3 linked regions of the Alligator mississippiensis genome follow. Each later gene encodes a partner of the first gene's protein in a complex. Links are inferred from orthologs where the notes say so. Each region holds a gene or a part of one and is shown in the gene's direction. Other genes may lie near its edges.

Region 1 (3,744 bases):
GGCGCGGCGCGCACCGCCCGTCAGACCCGCGTCCCCGGCGACCCGACTCTCCGCCACGCTGAGGGCCTGCGCCGCGTCCCGCGACCGCCCCAGCAGCAGCAGGCACTCCGCTTTGCGGAGCAGGACCTTGGGTTGCAGCCCGGCGGGGTAGCCCTGGCCCAGAGCTCTCTCGATGTCTTCCAAGCACGCCTGCGGTAGAAAAAAAGGCCTTTACGGGGGGGGGGAAAAAACACGCAACCATCCGCCCCACCCGCGCACCCGGCCGCGGGCTCACCTGTGGGTGCTGCAGACGGAAGAGCGCGGCCGAGCGGTTGGCGAAGCACAGGGGCAGCTCGGGGCCGCCGGGCGCCGCGTGCGACACGGCCTGCGGGCAGCGGGACGGCGGTCAGGGCCGGGCCGGGCCGGGAGGGGGGGAGGGAAAGGGCGGCGCGGCCTACCTTGGAGTAGAGCGCGGCGGCGGCCGCGAAGTCGCCCCGGCGGAAGCGCGCGTTGCCGGCCTGGCGGTAGAAGCAGGCGGCCGCCGCCTCCTTGCCCGCGCCCCGCCGCCCGCACAGCGCCCGCAGCAGCGCCTCGTCCTCGGGCCTGCGGGACAGCGCGTCAGGGGACGGGGAGAGGGAGGGCCGCGCCGCCGCCCCCAGCCCCGGCCCGCCGCCCACCTCAGCAGTCGCCAGCAGCACCGCAGCGGGGCCGCGCCCGACAGCTGAGCCCGCAACGCGGGCCCCAGCGTCTCCCAGCGCCGCGCCGCATGCACCCGCCACGGCTCCGCGGGCAGCGCCATGTCCCCTCAGCGGCCGCCTGCCCGCGGACCGGTACTTCCGGCGTACAGCACCAGCACTTCCGGCACTCGCCGCACCGCGGCTAATAGAGGGCGGCACTTCCGCTGTACGGCACTAGCACTTCCGGCATCCGTCGCACCCCGGCTAATAGCGGCGCGGCACTTCCGCCGTACGGCATAGGCACTTCCGGCATCTCATCCAATAGCGGCGCGGCACTTCCGGTCACGCGGGCGGGGGATTTGGCGCGGCGGGAGCAGGAGCAGGAGCGGGCTGTTGTCGCCATGGCCGCGCGCCTGAGTGCGGGCGCGATTGCGGTGAGGGGCGCGGGCTTCCCGCTCCTCGCGGCCGAGCCGGCTCGTCTTTCACGGGCAGGAGCGCGCGGGTCCCCCGGGGCGGGCCAGGGGCCGCGTGCCCGGCGGGTGCCCCTCGCTTGGGCCGGGGCCCGCGTGTAACGCCCCGCCCAGCCCCCGGGTGCGGGGGGCCGAGCCACCCCCGGCGCTCGGCCCTGCTGAGGGCCCTTCCCACCCGGCCCCTGGGAAGGGAAACCCGCTCGCGACGGGCCGAGAGACGCGGGAGGCCATAGGGGAGAAGGGAGCTGCGGTCCTGTCCCCGCGGCGCCAGGTGTGACCTTCTTCCTTCTCGTCCCTCTCCAGGCCATCATGCAGGGCGAGCCCGTGTCCAAGCCCGTGCTGCAAGTCATCGTGAGTATTCGCACAAGCGTCCTCCTGCTCCCGGTCGCCGCAGCTCCGTGGGCAGGGGGCGGGCGGGCCAGGCCTGCGCCCTGGCGTGACTCGGGCGGGGGAAGCTGGGCCGGGAGCAGATGTCCTGTGCACAGCTCCTTGCACCTGGCCTGCGACAATGCGTTTCAGTTGCTGGCAAAGCCACACAAAAAAAAGCCCCCCCCCCATTCGTGTCTGCAGACGAGGTGTCACCTCGCCGTGTGTGTCACAAGTAGCGTGGGTTGAGGGCTGAGGACCCCTGCCTTTCCCTTGCAGAACACGCGTGCTATTGCCACGGGCAGCGGCCCTCCGCGCTACCGCGTGCTGATGAGCGACGGGGTGAACACGCTGTCCTGTAAGTGCGACGCCGCGCGGGCGAACGTGCCTCTGCCTCCGCGGCAGAGCCGACACCGGGGTGTCACGGGCGTGGTGCGGGCTGTCCCTTTCGATTCTGGGGCCGGTCATTTTGTTCTGGTGTCTTGCCGCGGACCACCCAAAACGTGGGCAGCAGCTCCGTCGTTAGCAGAGTCTTCTACGCGCGCTGAGGTCCGAGAGGAATTAGCAGCTCGGTTGAATCATTTTCCATTCTGTTACGTGTCTGATTACGTTAATCGCTGCCTGAACGCTGTAGTCCGTTCTCCAGCTTTGGGTGGCTGACGTGCAGCTTATGCCCAGGAAATGACTCTTGCTGGCTGACGTGATAATGTGCACACCTTAGGTCTATTCAGCGCCACTTGTCGGAGTAGAGAAGTTGCAATTAGCCATTTTAGTACTGTCCCTTGCTAGCAGCTTTCGGAGGGGTTTTCTTTTCTTTTCTTTTGCAGCTTTCATGTTGGCAACACAGCTGAACTCTCTAGTCGAAGAGGAGCGCTTGTCTGCCCACTGTGTCTGCCAGGTGAACAGATTCATTGTTAACAGCCTGAAAGATGGAAGGTATTTTTGTTTGTTTCGATATTTGTGTTCACAGAATTGGCTGAAGGAGCGGGTGAAAGGGAGGAGCTCAAGCGCTTCGTTCCGGGGGAAGTGGACAGGTGTATCCAGGGGGTTCTCATAATGTAGGCACTGGCTCCCTTATAGTTTTCTGGGAGCAATTCAGAGTTCTGGTTGTAACCAGTTTGTCTGGGCCTGACATACCTAAAGGACTGCTTTCTCCCCCAACGCCCCATTGCAGTCTGTGACAAAATAACAAAAACTTCAGAATTATTCGCAATTCAGGCACATGCAAAATCTTGGTAACTTTTACTGCCACCCTTCTCTTCTCCTTCAAGTTGCCTTTTGTATTGCATGCATAGTTGTATTTAGTGTGCACTTTTGAGACAGGTAGTATATAAGGAATCTGGTACCGTTTTTAGGGCTTTGCAAATAGCAATAATCGTTATCCCATCTCTGTTTCATGTGCACTGTTCAGGTTGTTTTGTTTCAGCCCACGCCATTTCTGCTTGCATTTACTGAATGTTGTAAACCGGTGGGTAATGAAGCTGTTTCCTCCTGACATTACCTTCCCCAGGGAATCTATTCTGTACTGATTGTAGTGCCTTTATATATGCAAAAAAGAAACTTGCAGCCTATGACAGACAAAGACAGATAACCGTAGAGTATCTTGCCATCTGTTCTGTTTTTAGGAGAGTGGTTATATTGATGGAGTTAGATGTTCTGCAAACTGCTGATGTGGTTCGTGGAAATATTGGTGATCCAGTGCCATACAATGAAGGTAGGTAACTTAGCAAACAAAGGCATTTTGTTGTTTCAGAGACTTACTGCTGTGCTGGTCTTTCAGCTGTGTACTTTAGTGAAAAAGGGGAGTCAAATTTCAAGTGATAGAAAAACAGGGCTGGTCATCTTGTCCACTCTGTCCTCCAAAGAGGATCGTCGCTGTCTAAACCATCCCCAAATTAAGGGAGGCCTGGTGTCATCCGAGCAGGCAAACCTCTGGTCTTTTCAGACATACTGCTACTGTATGCCTAAGTTGCACGGCTCTAATTGTCTTGTCTAGAGCTGTGATTTCCAGTTCCTTAATGTCTCTTCTGCACGTGGAACTTTTGTATAGTGTCTCTCTCTAATATACAAACCCAAGGCCAAACAGTCAGTTTCTGTCTCTATCTAGTATGGGGAAGTCTTGAATTTTCATGATGTTACTACTCCATTAATAAGAAACAGCTAATTATCATGGGGGGGGGGGGAGGATATAGAATCCTGATACAATTTTGCCTACGTGATTCCATTTTAATCTTTTGTTTTGATCTCTGCAG
Region 2 (3,744 bases), on another chromosome or scaffold:
TTTTGTAACCTGGTCATAGAAGGCAACCAAGTTGGTCTGACAGGACCTACCTCTAGCGAACCCATGTTGGTTCCCCCTAAGCATGATCTCCCCTGCTGGTTCCTCGCAGATGTGCTCCTGGATAATTTTCTCAAAGAGCTTCCCCAGGACCGAGGTAAGGCTAACAGGCCTATAGTTTCCTGGGTCCTCTTTCCTCCCTTTTTTGAAGATGGGAACTACATTGGCCCTTTTTTCCAGTCCTCTGGCACCTCGCCAGAGCACCTAAGTGCTTGTAGAGCAGTGCCAGGAGTCCCGCAATGACCTCTGCCGATTCCCTCAGCACCTGGGGTGGAGATCATCAGGATCCAGTCCCCTGCACCAAGCAGGAAAGAACTGGGGGTCAGGTGATCCCAGCAAGGTGACTGTCTAGTCTCCTGTTGAAGATTTCCAGGGTAGGTGCTTGCAGGGTCCTTGACTGATGTGTGCCAACACTCCTGCTGGGACCAAAGCCAGAGGTGTATGTCCCTCTGCTCAGGGTCAGACTGATCCTCATATCTGGAGTCGGGATGGATTTTTACCCCATAGACTGTGTGGGGTTTTGCCCTATGTAGCGAGGAGCATGGCACTTGGCCTGGAATTCCTGTAGCACAGCAGCCCTCAACATTTTTGGCGGGTGAGCTGGATGGGCAGTGCCATCTGTCCATGGGCTGGGTCCACTGATGGTCCTGATCTTGCACCTTCGGTCTCTGGCTATGTGTAGGGGGTACATGTGCACCCCCTGTGAAAAGGCGCTGCCAACACTGCTGGTGGTGCCCCTCGGGTGGTTGCCGTTTGCCACCCCCCGTTGCTGACACTGCCGGCAGCATCTGCAGGCGGTCCGTGATCGCCGCAGCAGCGTCTGTGGGTGGTCACTAACTGCTGGGCGGCGCTCGCCACCCACCTACGCCGTGGCTGCCTGCAGGAGCCATGCTTCTGCTGCCACCGCCTGTGCGGCCTTGCGTGACCCCCAGCCTCGGGGCGGGGGGCCCACAGCATTCATGCCTGAGGTTGCTGCCCCAGGGCCCCATGTGGCCTCGAGTGGGTGACAGCCCGACTCCCACCTGGCCCCTGGCCGAGGAGGGAATGCTCGATGCAGCCGCAAGCTGGCGCCGTGCGGGTGTGGGGCGAAGAGACCGGACCCAGCCGTGGCAGCAGCACCTTCTCAGCCACTGGGAGCCCGGGGCTGCCTCAGAGGAACGCGCTCCGCCAAAACAGGAAGTCGCTTCCCTGGGGGCGGGGCAGCTCAGGAGCTGGAGCACAGGGCCGCGCCGGGCAGGCTCCGCGCTCGCAGGGAGGGAAGCGGAGGCGTGCGCCTCCTTCCGGACACGTGGGCCGGGCCGGGCCGGGCGCGGGCATGGCGCGGGCGGGCGAGCAGCGCTGGGCCAGGCCAGGACCCGAGCTGTGGGGGCGGCTGCTGCCACCCAAGGACGAGCCGGGGCTGGGGCCCGACGAGGAGGAGGAGGAGGAGGAGGAGGAGGAGGAGGAGGAGGAAGGCTACGAGGACGCTTTGCTGGACGAGCCGCTCCTGACGGGCCCCGCCGAACTGAGCTGCGAGGGCGCCGGGCAGGCGCGGCGGGCAGGTGAGCGCCGCGGCCGGGGGGAGGGGCCGACGCAGGCACTAGCCGCTCCCGCCTCAAGTGTAGCGGGTTTGCGGGGGCAGGTGACGTCATGGCGTGGGGTGGAACCCTCGCGTCTCCTCTCCAATCAGCGTGGACCTGCGGGGGGGGGAGAGAAGGAATTTACCGCCTGAGCACCTGTAATCTGAGTGGATGTGGGGGGGAGGGCAATTTACCGTATTTACTTACCGTATTTACTAGCTTATGCCTTTCCCCTCCTGATGCTCAGCCCTGCATTCACTCCCTGCCTGATCTGGCTTGGCAGCGCCCAGGGTGTCCCCTGCAGCTGGTTCTCTTGCAGCTGGCGCTCAGGGCAGGCAGTGGAGGCTGGGGCTGCACTATCCCTTCCGCCAGTGAACCGCTGAGCCCTGATCTCTGCCCACCAGTGGCTGGATCAGCTGTGCCGGAGCATGGTGCAAGGCCGGCGCCTGGGGATGCTCCAGGATGCCACTGTGCTGGGATGTGGCTGCTGGTTCCAGCGCCTGGGAGGCAGCGAGTGGAAATTTGGGAGCAGGGGGAAGCAGTGATTGCTGCCCCCAGTCCCCCACTGCCAAATTTTCAGGCCCTTGGGGACCCCTGCGGGCCAGATCCCGCCTGCTGGCCAGGGGCTAAATCAACACCTAGGGGGTGGGCACTTGTAGCACCTGAACTATTTTCAGTGCGGTTTTAGCCGAGGTCGTCCAGACATAAAAGCTGGTTTAGTACAGTTTAAACCACCTGCAATCTTTTAAAAGTACCTGGAAAATCCAGTGTTATTTGTAACCGGTTCTCTGGGATTGGGCCCAGTGTTAGGTGCAGACACCGCGCTTTCTGTGATAGTGTCCGGGTGGTGCTGCAGGCATCCCACACTGCACCGTTTCCTTGTCCCTGTTTTCCCAGTGATATGCTTTGCTTGGTGGCCCCTGGAGCACTCCTTGTCAACTGCTGACCTCCACTTCTGTTCCTGTTACTGGTTTAAATTGTCCCAAGAAATTGTAGCTTCGTACCTCTGAGAACATGGGAGGCTAACCATTTCTCTGTGGGCACGTGCCCTTGGTTTTTCTGTGCATCAAATAGGCTTTCTCCCCCTTCTCCTGCCAATCTCCACACTGGCTGCTCTGGTACTGCTCGCCGCTCAGGTGGTGTTGGGGAGGTGGTCTCTGCTTTGAGCAAAGAACAATTCATGGGCCAGTTCAGCCATTTTGTGGTGTGAAGTGCTGCGCAGTGGCTCAGTTTTCTTTCACTTAGCATTGACTTGGCCCATTATAGTTTCCTTCCATATACATAGTCTTTATTATCTGAAACCTCAGACTAGGTTGTACTATTTGATTTAATGAGCTATTATACTGCAATAACTGGGCCCAAACTTTTTTTAATGTTTAAAATTGAAAGTTATAACTAGTTACAAATTATGCTTTGTTGCAGTTGTATACAAAAAGAGCCATGAATCTAGCGCTGGTAAAGTTTGTAGAGAAATTAATTTTTTTATCAGAGAAGTAAATGTTTGGGGAAGTTTTGCATTAATTTAGAAGCAATAAACTAAAAACATGCTAGGTGCCAGATCCTATACCCTTGTCTAAGTGTAGTGCTCAGAGTAAAATTCTTTGGGTGTGTCTACACATTCATTAATGAGCCTTAATTACTGCTCATTTAGTTTAGTACTTGTTTAATGAAGTACTAAATGTCCAGTATCTAGAGTTGCTGCGCAGTAGTGCCAGCGCACACTTATTTTGTGACACTTTAGCCTAATAAGACTATGCAGTAGGCTATTAGCACAATTTTTAACTGCCACGCTACTGCAGTGTTATCAGGCTAATGTGCAGTAAGTGTCTCAAGTAGACACGCCCTTTGTTTATCAGCACTTGTTGAATTTGTCTCCTTGTTTGAACTCTTATAATCCCTGAGTCTCACTCAAAGTCAGGTGTTAGACAAGAATATAACCGCATCTAGGTGAGATTCAGAGGTTTATTTGTGTGCCCAAAAGTTCCTTTTTGAAGTGGGAAGAGTCAGCACCTGGGAAGATTCTGGCACTAGATGTTTGCACACTGATGTCCTTTAAAATTGGCCAGCAGGTCACTCTGGTTTAATTCCTGAATACAGGCTGAGGGATCCTGTATCCTGGGGGATGCCG
Region 3 (3,744 bases), on another chromosome or scaffold:
CCACTCATTTAGGGTTTGGTTTGGGTTTGGCTTTTTTTTTTTTTTTTTTTTTTTTTTTTTTTTTTTTTTTGGTGAGGATATTCTTTAACCCTCTTTTTTTTTTCCTGACGTGTAAAGCTTTAACCACAAACTGAAACACCAGTCCCTGAGGGGGGTACGGAGGGGGGAGAGGAGGAGAGGTAGAGGCAGATTGGTTATTCTCTTTTCACAAAAGAAAGTTTTAGTAAGAGGGGGTGAGGTAAGCAAGCGGTGCCACCCTGTGTTAGAAACACTGGTGTGTCATGGGGGGAGCAAGGGGGGTGAGGAGGAAGGAAGAAGGATACAGACAGAGATGGAAAGAAAGAAAGGAGAGATTGACAGATGGGAAGATGGAAATGTACAGACGGGTGAAAAGAAAGATAGGAAAAACAAAACAGAAGAATATGTAGATAGAGTAGAAAAGAAAGGAAGAAAGATATACTGATGGTTACAAAAAGGATAGATAGATATAGAAAGAAAGAACAGAAGCTGGATCGGTCTCTCCCCTTCTTGCTGTCATGTACAGCCCTCCCCATTCCAGATTTTTAAAAAGTTTTTCCCTAAGGGGGAAAAAACATCCAAGCCCAAAGCCAGCCCCCTGCCCTTGCCCCAGCCCAAATGCCAGACGCGGGACTTGGAAAAGCAGTGCTAGTTTATTTTTTATTCCCTCTGCTGCTGCCCTTTCATGGGAAACAAAACACAATCAATTGTTGAGCTTTTGTTTTTTATTTTTGTGTTGTTGTTGCCTCTAAACAAGGGAGAAAGGAAGCAGCATGCAGACGTTTAGTCATCGGCAGGTGACTAACCCTGCTAAGCATTTCGCCAGGCGACAGACACCAGAATGGGATGGAGGGGGTGAGTGCAAACATTTTGGTGAAAAGAAAGTTGAGCCCTTTCTCGGGGATTGGTTTGTTATTTCCCATTCTTCCTTCTTTACTAAAGTTCACAAGTTTTCTTCTTTCATTCATTCTTTCTTACTTTTGCCTTGTTCCTGCTGTGGGGGTTAGATTTGTGATTCATTAATCAGCAAAAGGCATCACAGCCCCATTTCAACACAAGATCTTTCAATTGCATATTGTGACTCAGCATTAGGCTCCAACTTCTTTAAAAGTTGAACAAGGAGGCAGAGATTTCCCATCTGCTTGACCCTTTTTTTTTTAAACTCACTCCTCATTGCCAATTTAAAATATTTAGTAGTAAAAATGTTGTTAGTTCTTAATGCAAAAATTTTAAAAAATCTTCCCTAAAACAGGTGAATAACTTCTAAAAAAGACATAGCACCCCTCTCTCCAGGAAATTATTACATGTAATACATAAAAATTTATAGGTAATATGTATATACATACATATTATGTATGTATGTATGTATATATCATACATAGGCACAATGTAGATTTAAGTGCTTTTGAAAAAGTCCAAAGGGTTCAGAAGACACGTACATAGGCATCATTCTATTTTTGCATTGTTTTTCATCTATACTTCTATTAACTGTGTGCACAAGAGCTGTATAGAGCTATGGGCCCAATCCTGCAGTTCTTACTCCAGCAAAAATCCCACTCCACAGCTTGCAAAATACATACGAAACTCACTTCACTACTGAGTAGTTCTGATGTCCAAATTCTGGGACGGTTCCCCTCTCTGTTCAGCTGCTCTAGTAAGGGGCTTTTAAGAATTTTCAAGATCTGTGTAAAAACTCACTTGTGTTGGGACTTAGCATTCTGACTTACTAGAGATGCATGAGGCTTTTTGCTTCAAGGATCTACAAACATGAATATTTATTTTTGTATATTACAACAGCTAAAAAATGAGTTTGTTTCCAATTAACCTCATCTGATTAGGACAAACTTTGCTCTGGGTGTCCCTCTAGTTAGATGAGAGCTTTGGAAATAAACTTCAGATTTAAAATAAACTATCAAGGGTTATTAAACCTGGTATGTTGGGGATATGGCAAAAAGCAAAAAATAAAACAAAACCCAAAATGCTGTTTACTCACATTACTAAATATTTAAATTTTTTTCAAACAAGAAAAGCAGGAAGGGTTTTTTGTTCTGTAGAAGGAAATACAATAAGTGAACCTAAAATTATTTTCATTTGTGAACCATGTTTTTTATCTTCTGTTGTTAAAACGTGTCTAGTATTTACACTTTATAGAAAATGGAAAACTATTACAGTCCTTTGAACTTTGGGAAGGGAAATGTATTAATTTTTGCAAGCATTCTCTTGATGCTTTGTTTAAAACAAAGGCACTTACAAACCAACTTGTCTTAGGTTAACAGTTCTTGGTACTTCCAAAAGGTAAAACTCATAATTTTTCAATAATAGTTTCAATAAACTCCAGCCTCCCCATATTTTTGTTTGAAATGTCTAAAACTATTTTTTCTTTGGTAGAATTCACCCTAAGAGGTTGAATAGTTCAACCTTTCCACTATTTCTTGAGCAGCAACTCTGCTGTAATGTGCAACTTATTTAAATATCATTCATCTATATATATGTACAGACACACATACATTAGATTTAAAGGAGTCTACATTGCACCATGTACAAAGACTGTAATATGTTTAAGTTTCTTTAGGATTGGCGCAAATACTGATATCTTTACAGTACGCTATATAATGTCTTTGTACGCAATTATGTGTTTCTTCTTAGATAAACACAAGTTTAAGCATGTAATACATTCACATTTATACACATATTTCTCCGTCCTGTATTTTTTGTAGATGCTTTTTATCTGACTGTAGGGAAATGTGGGTTGCAGACTGATTAAAATTGGGATTTTTTTTCCCCTTTGCAACACTAACAGGCAAAACGTGAGCCCAGAATGCTTGCCTCAAACTGTGTGTGTTTCATACCCAATCCAAGAAGATGCCTTTTTTTAAACTGGTTGGAGTTGGTGGGTAAGAATGGTGCAATGCAACATGCCACCAGGAAAGTTTTACAGACCCAATGCCACACTGAGCCCAGACAAGGAAAATTTTCCTGATTTGGAAGCCTGGGGACTTACCCTACTACAGACACTACGACACCAGCTTTCAGCATAGATGCGTGCCAGACACAGGTACCGGGGAGGTGGGGAAGAAAGAGAGAAAGAGGAACACATGAATGAAAAAGAAAAAAGCTTAGGTGCCTCTTTGTAACATTTCCCTAAAGTTGTCCTTTTCTGCAAGAACTGAGTTGCATGCCTACATGCCTAGTAATATCTGACTATCTGTGAGGGAAGTAATCCCCACTGCCCTAGAATAAACTCTTTGGATGAGGGAGGGAGAGGTAGGATTCAAAATCCATGTTTCTGATTTCTCTACTTAAAGCTTGTGGGCTTTTCATCACTTTTTTGGTTCAGATGAAGTGGGGAAAGGGGCAGACAGAGAGAGGGCTACAGAGCAAATCCTCAAAGTCAGGGGCAGCTTTTATGCAAAGCACAAAGTGATTAAAAAGGTGCTCCCCACTGCCAGGCCCCAGGACACAGAATGAAGGGCTCATTGGCTTGACTTCATAATAGACCATGTCATGCCAATGTGGTTAGTGGAACAGAGTCTGTCTCCACCAAGACAGCCCTATCCTAACCCCATCAGCACAGTCCCCTCCCATGAGATACGGGATCAGACAACAGCAGGGCTTGGGATGTAATGACATTGTTCAGCATCTCACTTTGCTCTCACTGGTACAAGATGCTACCACTCCTCGGGGGGAAAAGAGGCTTAGTCTGAAGACTGCATGAGCAGTAGCTGG

The links.
Region 2: the proteins of RPA1 (region 1) and HELB are in contact, whole or in part, in a crystal structure (PDB 7XV1), measured with the Homo sapiens proteins. The link is inferred for Alligator mississippiensis from reciprocal best matches to the Homo sapiens genes RPA1 and HELB. Residues at the interface, in NP_002936.1 of Homo sapiens: Asn29, Ile30, Arg31, Ile33, Arg41, Arg43, Leu44, Leu45, Ser54, Ser55, Met57, Ala59, Thr60, Gln61, Arg81, Ile83, Asn85, Leu87, Arg91, Val93, Ile95, Met97, Glu120; in NP_001357214.1 of Homo sapiens: Glu496, Glu499, Val500, Lys502, Ala503, Cys504, Asp506, Phe507, Glu508, Asp510, Asn512, Ala513, Glu516, Trp517, Thr519.
Region 3: the proteins of RPA1 (region 1) and RAD9A are in contact, whole or in part, in a crystal structure (PDB 8JZY), measured with the Homo sapiens proteins. The link is inferred for Alligator mississippiensis from reciprocal best matches to the Homo sapiens genes RPA1 and RAD9A. Residues at the interface, in NP_002936.1 of Homo sapiens: Asn29, Arg31, Ile33, Arg41, Arg43, Leu44, Leu45, Ser54, Ser55, Phe56, Met57, Asn85, Leu87, Lys88, Asp89, Arg91, Val93; in NP_004575.1 of Homo sapiens: Asp297, Phe298, Ala299, Asn300, Asp301, Asp302, Ile303, Asp304, Tyr306, Met307, Ile308, Met310.

Annotation. Positions count from the first base shown.
Region 1 is NC_081837.1:560,878-564,621, forward strand, and holds the start of RPA1 (replication protein A 70 kDa DNA-binding subunit), read left to right. Parts: upstream 1-983; 5' UTR 984-1,057; coding exon 1,058-1,090; intron 1,091-1,429; coding exon 1,430-1,477; intron 1,478-1,771; coding exon 1,772-1,850; intron 1,851-2,319; coding exon 2,320-2,428; intron 2,429-3,117; coding exon 3,118-3,206; intron 3,207-3,744. Other genes in the region: SMYD4 (SET and MYND domain-containing protein 4), read right to left, coding at 1-189, 275-364, 438-582, 657-778. UniProt on the Homo sapiens protein: As part of the heterotrimeric replication protein A complex (RPA/RP-A), binds and stabilizes single-stranded DNA intermediates that form during DNA replication or upon DNA stress.
Region 2 is NC_081827.1:67,692,840-67,696,583, forward strand, and holds the start of HELB (DNA helicase B), read left to right. Parts: upstream 1-1,086; 5' UTR 1,087-1,101; coding exon 1,102-1,598; intron 1,599-3,744.
Region 3 is NC_081825.1:176,214,496-176,218,239, forward strand, and holds the start of RAD9A (cell cycle checkpoint control protein RAD9A), read left to right. Parts: upstream 1-740; 5' UTR 741-791; coding exon 792-873; intron 874-3,744. UniProt on the Homo sapiens protein: Component of the 9-1-1 cell-cycle checkpoint response complex that plays a major role in DNA repair. The 9-1-1 complex is recruited to DNA lesion upon damage by the RAD17-replication factor C (RFC) clamp loader complex.